2 linked regions of the Macaca fascicularis genome follow. The protein of the gene in region 1 purifies or fractionates together with the protein of each later gene. This does not show direct contact. Links are inferred from orthologs where the notes say so. Each region holds a gene or a part of one and is shown on either strand. Other genes may lie near its edges.

What was found.
Region 2: the proteins of NUFIP1 (region 1) and ZNHIT6 purify together in Homo sapiens (affinity purification with western blotting; 3 studies listed by BioGRID and IntAct, with this or other methods). This does not show direct contact. The link is inferred for Macaca fascicularis from reciprocal best matches to the Homo sapiens genes NUFIP1 and ZNHIT6.

Annotation. Positions count from the first base shown.
Region 1 is NC_088391.1:24,178,872-24,182,793, reverse strand, and holds the end of NUFIP1 (FMR1-interacting protein NUFIP1), read left to right. Parts: intron 1-839; coding exon 840-956; 3' UTR 957-3,227; downstream 3,228-3,922. UniProt on the Homo sapiens protein: Binds RNA.
Region 2 is NC_088375.1:148,944,021-148,947,942, forward strand, and holds the start of ZNHIT6 (box C/D snoRNA protein 1), read left to right. Parts: upstream 1-1,073; 5' UTR 1,074-1,222; coding exon 1,223-1,878; intron 1,879-2,993; coding exon 2,994-3,059; intron 3,060-3,145; coding exon 3,146-3,252; intron 3,253-3,337; coding exon 3,338-3,423; intron 3,424-3,922. UniProt on the Homo sapiens protein: Required for box C/D snoRNAs accumulation involved in snoRNA processing, snoRNA transport to the nucleolus and ribosome biogenesis.

The sequences.
Region 1 (3,922 bases):
CAGTTGCTTCCTATTAAAATGGATCTGAAATATACGCTCCATTTTGTATAGATAGTAAATTACATTTAAAAAGTTACCTTATAATCGGTAAATTAAGTAATCTTTCCACTGAAAGTTTCTGTATAACTCTGTCAATAACATCAGAAAATAAAATCCTTTTTGGCAAATTACATATGATTCCTTGATTATGTGTTTATTCTGAATACCAGGGATTTTTAGCTTTTTTAAAATACAATAAGCACAAAAATGGAAAGTTATAAAAGTCAAGGAATGTTGGAATTTTTTACTGCTACTTTCATTGTTACATGTAAATAGATGTACTTATCAGTTTCTAGACTGCTTATGAATTTGAGTTTGGGCAATCCTCTTTGACATTTTAGATTAAAGAATTGCAGACTTTTTAGCCAGATGTGGTGGCGCATGCCTGTAATCCCAGCTACTTGGGAGGCTGAGGCAGGAGAATCGCTTGAACCCGGGAGGCAGAGGTTGCGGTGAGCCGAGATCGCAGCATTGCACTCCAGCCTGGGTGACAAGAGCAGAATTCTGTCTCAAAAAAAAAAAAAAAGAATTGCAGACTATTAAATACTTTCATGTCCTATGCTAGATACTCTTAGAGAGGACTCCAAATATAAGCATTAGTACTGTTTAAAAAGCTAGATAGTCTTGATGTAACTTAAAAGGACATGTTCTTGCATTGTTTTTTAGCAAAATAGTAAATATAATATATATTTCTTATTGTTCTGTCTTCTTTGTGAGGAGAGGGTACATGCAGTATTTTAGATTGTATTTCCCAGATATAATTTATTTACCAGCTAATCTTTTTTAAAATTGTCTTTTAGCTTCTAGCTCCGGACATTCGACATGAAAGAAATGTGATTTTGCAGTGTGTTCGGTACATCATCAAAAAAGACTTTTTTGGACTGGATACTAATTCTACAAAAAGTAAAGATGTATAGGCGTCTGATGTTTCAGCATGCATAACTGAAGCATGTGAAACAGTATCATCCTCGTTAGTAGAGGAAAACCAAAACCCTTTTTTCCCTCAAAACTGGATTTGTAATTAAATTGTAAGCCTCATAGGGTGTATGTTGGAATTTTAAGTCTTTCCTTTGGTTCTATGCAAATAAATACATAACTGATTTTTAAGACTGTGTCCATATTGTTGGGATTGAATCTAGTATTTGCTGGGAGAATTTTTTCTTTGTATTTATTTTAATGTATTGTTCTCATGTAAGAATGACTGATGTGTCAGTTAAGAATTGAAGATAGGTTTAGCAGTAAAGAAGAAAACTTTTAAAAGGATTGATTCAGCTAAGCAAAGTTGGGCAGAGAAATACAGCCATTTTGTTTTTAATGCAGAAAAGGAAGATGTTCTGTAGCAACAGGGAATATTTTAAAAATAAACCAGATCAAATTAATACAGTCAGAAGGTTTCGAAATGTTAGTATTCCCTGTTTAAGACATGTTTAAATTCACCTACTAGCACGACTTACATAGCTCAAATATTGAATGTTTAAAATTTTTTTTTTTTTTTTTTTTTGAGACGGAGTCTCGCTCTGTCGCCCAGGCTGGAGTGCAGTGGCCGGATCTCAGCTCACTGCAAGCTCTGCCTCCCGGGTTTACGCCATTCTCATGCCTCAGCCTCCCGAGTAGCTGGGACTATAGGCGCCCGCCACCTCGCCCGGCTAGTTTTTTGTATTTTTTAGTAGAGACGGGGTTTCACTGTGTTAGCCAGGATGGTCTCGATCTCCTGACCTCGTGATCCGCCCGTCTCGGCCTCCCAAAGTGCTGGGATTACAGGCTTGAGCCACCGCGCCCAGCCTGTTTAAAATATTAATACAGATGGGGCCTCTGTTTATGTTTAGATACAATTGGAGTACTTAATTGAAACTTTTTAAAAATTGTAAAGTAAATGAAAGCTACTGAGATCTTTTTGTCTCCTATAATACCAGGGAATTTGAGCTTGTGTTCTAGTCATTGTACTAGCTGTAGCTATTGGTCTGCCCTTTTGACATACAGCTAAAAAGGACTAAATTTTTTTTTTTTTAATTAGTCTGTCATAGTTGAAGATTAATTTTTCCTAATGTTGTGATTATTGAAGTTCATGAATCTTGCTGTCAAGGAAGAAAGGTAAGAAATCTGATAGCTCCTCCATGTTGGTAAAATCCTCTCCAGAATCCTGGAACACCTGGCATGTGACCCTAGTGACGTCACAGACCTGGGGTGAAGATTCATGTTTAGCCAGTGTTTTCCAGCCTTGTACCCACCATACAGATCTGTTTATTCTGTTTCACCCTACTCCTCCAGTGAGCCCCATATTTTGGGAAATTATCTGCCTCATACGTTAATTAATTCAATTCATATAACACTGTTGAGGGCTTACTCCAGGTACCTCTATTGTGCCTATATTAAAGGTATACAAATAAATGAGGCCATGTCTGACTTCAAGGAACTCAGTTTAATTTTGATATATTCAAAGATGTGATTCCCAACCATCTCATCAGGATGAAGTAACTAGTGTTACAACTGAGTTGATACTCTAAAATATAACACAGTTTGCACTTTTATTACTAGTTAGCATATACATTTTACAGGCTTATGGTTAATAAATGAAGTCACGGACTCCTGGACTACTTTCACTGATGACCGTATCTCCAGGGATGTTGTTGATCCCCACACTGCCTTAAGGTGTATTATGTAAACAGTTTTCTTTTCCGTTTTTCTTGTTTCCTGATAATACATGTATTTAGGACTGAAAATACTCCTCTGAGTACTCCGTTGGCTCTATGTCTTTAGCTATGGTAACTATTGTTTATTTTTAATGGGTATTTCAGATTCAAAGTGTATTTAAAATTTCTAAGCAGATACAATATAACCTGTATGGTTTCTACCTTATGGAATTATATGGTCAATATTTGTAAATATTCTGTGAGTTTTGGGTGGGTAGAGGGGTGCTTTGCCTGTTTTGGGTACAGGTTTTTTTGGATTTAGCTTGTTAATTGTTCAAACTTTCTGCCTTCTACATTCTTATCTTATTGTTCATTTAATCAGTTTCTGAAATGTAAGCATTACATGACTATTGGTGAGTTGTGCCTTTTATAACTGAAATACTTTACTTTTTCTCATATCCTCTATAATTGACTTCTATTTTCCTTAATTAGTCAAACCAGCTCTGGGAAATTTAATCCATTTATATTAATTGAGATTATTAAAACATTTGGACTATTCCTGGCTGTCTTATTTTGTATTTTCTGTATATCATGCTTTCTTGTTTTTATTTTGTCATCTTATTGGCTTGATTGTTATTTTTTTTTCTCCTTGTTTTTCCTCCAGTGGTTTGGAAGTAATTAAACCTATTGCTATTTCTTTAGTGATTACCTTTTTTTCTTTATGTTTAGAGTTAGTTAGTAGCCATATCTTCCACCCATCTTCCAATTAAGTCAGTAACCTTAGCATTGTTTCACTTCCCCACCTCAGCCTTTTCTTGTGATGTAATCAGATTCAATTTTAGTTTTAGATTAATCTCTAGGATCTTGGCCTGTATGTGTAAATAGTTATTAGGCCACTATGAGTTTTACTGTTTTCTTCTGATTGCTTTCTCTTGCATCCCAGGATTAGTTTTCTGGTGTGCTGCTGCGTATCTTCAAGTAATTAAATGTTGAATCTTCAATTTAAAATTTTTTAAATTGAGTTACGGTTTTAGACTCAAAATCATTTTCCTTCGGAATTTTGAAGCTATAACAATCGTATGCTATTATCCAGTATTGCTGATTAAAGTCAAACACCAATCTGATTACCTCTCTTTATTTATTGATAAATAACCTATTTTTTCCTCATGAAAAACTTTTAGGGTTTTCTTTTTATGCTTGGAGTCCTAAAATTTCACCAATTTGTGTCTAGATCTCTGGGACATTTGTCATTC
Region 2 (3,922 bases), on another chromosome or scaffold:
CATTAGTCATTAAAGAAATGTAATTTAATAACATTAACGAAATGTAAATTAAATTCGCAACGACATATCACTACACATCTATGATCAAATAATTGATAATACTAAGAATTGGCAGGGATGTAGAGAAACAGGAACCCTCAGCCAGTGGGAATGTAAAATGGTATAGCTACTTTGGAAAACAGTTTGGGCATTTCTTTAAAAATTAACATAAATTTATATGGCCCAGCAATTCCACTCCTAGTTATTTACTTACGGGAAATGTAAACACGTCCACACAAATACTTGTATATGAATGTGGAAGCAGAATTATTCGTAATAGCCTAAACGGGAAACAAGGCAAATGCCCACCAACTGGTACATGCATGAAAAAACGTGCCACATTCATACAATGCAATTCATACAATGCAACTCAGCAAAATCGGGCATTAGGCACTTTCACCTAATATATTTATGATGTTCTCTGAGAGAATCCTGCAAAATGCTGCAGAATCCTGCAGAATGCCTGCGTCAGGCTGTTACTTAGAAAGAATGGAAACAAAAATTAATGCCCTCTTTCCTACTTGAAACCCATCAGGATTCCCAGTTATCTATTGAGTTTGTGTCCGTCACTGCTAGTTAATTCCCATGCATGATCTCATAATCTTCGCAATGACACTGAGATTTGTATTAATAATACCATGGTCCCTAGTTTATAGCTTTAAGAAACCAAAGCTTGGAAAGGCGTAACATCAGGTGTGTCTATTTTCATACAAGATTGGATTTAATGGTTAACACAGATGAAGGTGGGTTTTCCCATTTCCAGAGTGTAAGGGTTTCGCTTCTCTCCCTCTGCCGGTCTCCTCCACTCTTCACACCGAGTAGGGCGTGCAGGGTAGCCTAGGGTGTGGCCCAGGAGGCTTCCCTAGGGCAAGGGTGTAGTGGAAACCAGGCGGGAGACGAGAATACCACTGGGCAAGTCACGCAGTTACGCTTGTTGGCCCAGAGCATCCGGCAGGGCCTCCGCAGAGCCGTAAAGAGTTCTACAAGTCGTGAAGTGTCGAGGCGCAAAAGCGTTGCTTTACGGCGATTCGAGCAGTCGCGTCAAGCTGACTATTCCGGGCTTTTGGCTACTTGGCTCTGCACGTGGGCCGCTGTAGGTATTCCGATCGGTAATTCCGCCTATTGGTGTGCAGCAGCCACATTGAAGGATAGAGTGGCAACAGAGGCCAAGTATCGTGAGTTGATGGAGTTTGCTGCTGAAAATGAAGGGAAGTCTGGGGGAGGCCTCCACAGCGTAGCTGAGGGGGTGCGGCTAAGTCCAGAGCCTGGCAGGGAGGAAGTCAGGGACTTAGCACGGGCGGAGGAGGTCGGCGGCGGAGAGGAGGGGAAAGGGCTGACAGGGATGAAGGAGATAGGGGATGGAGAGAAAGGAAGTGGACAAAGGCCAGAGGAAATACCGATGGACCTAACGGTAGTGAAGCAAGAAATTATGGACTGGCCAGATACAGAAGGCAGATTGGCTGGCCAGTGGGTAAAACAGGAGGTGGAGGATAGGCCTGAGGTGAAGGATGAGAACGCAGGCGTATTGGAGGTGAAGCAGGAGACGGATAGTAGTTTAGTGGTAAAAGAGGCGAAGGTGGGTGACCCAGAGGTAAAGGAAGAGAAGGTAAAGGAAGAGGTAATGGACTGGTCAGAAGTGAAGGAAGAGAAGGATAACTCGGAGATAAAACAGGAGGAGAAGTTTGTTGGTCAATACATAAAAGAGGAAGTGATGCATGGAGAGTGTGTAAAAGAAGAGAAGGATTTCCTGAAGAAAGAAACCGTGGATGATACAAAGGTGAAAGAAGAGCCTCCGATAAATCACCCGGTGGGTTGCAAGCGGAAACTGGCCATGTCAAGGTAGGGCATGGGGAATTCCATTTAGGGGAATAAAGCTGTGGAATCCTCATGTCTAGAGTGAAGGAAACCACACTATCAGGAGAAGGTGGAATAATGAAAAATAAGCACAAGTTTGGGTTTCTGGAGGCAGACGGCGTTCGTGGGGGTGGGTTGGGAAGTGGAGGGTGTTGTGGATGACAACACAACAAATTCAGTGAAAATATATGAAGTTGGTAGTGTCCAATGGGTAATGGGCAAGTTAGGAAAGTGAAAATTCTGGGGACCAAAAGATCATTTGGAACTGGATCTGGCTTAACTTAATATGCTCTTTACTCGGTATTCCTTTGAGAGAGAATAGAGATGAGAAAGTGTAATAAAACCAACAATGACAACGTAGAGTAAGTTAAAATTAGGCAAAATTACACTTGACCTCAATTATCAAGCTTCTGCATGGGTGCTGTGAATATTTATTGCTTTTGATTTAATTTCCTTAGTGTGTGGATCATGTGACAAAGGAAATAAGAGTAGTCAGATTCTTGGGAATATTACCTTCTAGAACACAGTGGGCTAAATATAAGTAACTGTAGTTTGGTTGTCAGTATCCCAAGAGCATAGAAGAGCAGTTGAGGACAGACGATGGGTTACATGGCATTTATAGATTATTTCGATGCTCATTCTAGATTAGGTGTGGAGTTCAGGAAAAAAGATGCTACTACTACTCTCTAAATTTCACTTGGCCTTATATTCTTTTTCTAGTGTGTGCTTTAAAAATATCTAAACATAGCTCATGGATTGGACTCCTGGATACACACACATAAAATCATTACCGCATTTCCAGGAATCACAAGTTAAAATATCAGTGAATAATCTCATTCCCTGATTAGAGTAGAAAAAGAAGTCAAAAGCAAGATGGGTTTTAAACATTTTAATACATTTTCCTGAGTTATGTCACTAACAACATTGGAAATGTAGTTGTTTTGGGAAGGTTTCATAGAGAATTTTCAAATGATGTTCAACAGCTATCAAATATTTTTTCAGAGTTACTTGTCACTAAGTTTATAAGTTGGGACATTCTAAGTTTATAAATAAATAGAGTTAATATTTGATAATTTAATGTTACATGTGGGCTTTTGCAGGTGTGAAACTTGTGGTACAGAAGAAGCAAAGTACAGATGTCCACGTTGTATGCGATATTCCTGCAGGTATACATGTAACTTCCTACCTTTTAACCTGTATCTGTACCTTTCTTACCCTAAAGTATAAAAGTACTTCCCCTTTGTCTTTTCAGTTTGCCCTGTGTAAAGAAACACAAAGCAGAACTGACATGTAATGGAGTTCGAGATAAAACTGCATACGTTTCAATACAACAGTTTACTGAAATGAATCTCCTAAGTGGTAAGCCACTTTATGCATAGCAAATTGAGGCTTTCTGGCCATTGGTGTATGTCATTTGTTTATTCTTCTGTTTTGAAATTTTTAGATTATCGATTTTTGGAAGATGTGGCAAGAACAGCGGACCATATTTCTAGAGATGCTTTTTTGAAAAGACCAATAAGCAATAAACATGTAAGATTTTTTCCTAATTTCTTCCAGTTAGAAGTCCTTCAAATCAATTAGATTCTTTTTTTTTTTTTTAACTTACCAAATAATATATATTAAGTGGCTACCATGATGTAGAGCTGTTCTGATTACTTAAGGATATGACTGTGACCCAAACAAAGTCTGTCCACTCGTGGAGTTGTATTTAGTGGGAGATACAGGAGATGAGTGGAGGAACAAATGTAATTTCAGGTAGAGTTAAGTTCATATAGAAGATAAAGAAGGCTCAAGAGATTAAAGAGAGAATGAAAATGGTCTTTGTTGGGGAGAGATTGTCAGGGTACTATTTTTGATACAGTGGTCAGGAGAAGCTTCTCTAAGAGATGATATGTAAGCAGTGATCTGAATGCTGAGAAAGAAGCTGTCATGAAAACATTTGGAGGAAGATTATTCCAAGTAGGGACAAAAGTAAAAGGAAAGACCTGAGTCAGAAACAAGGATGTCTGGTTTGAGGAATTAAAAGATT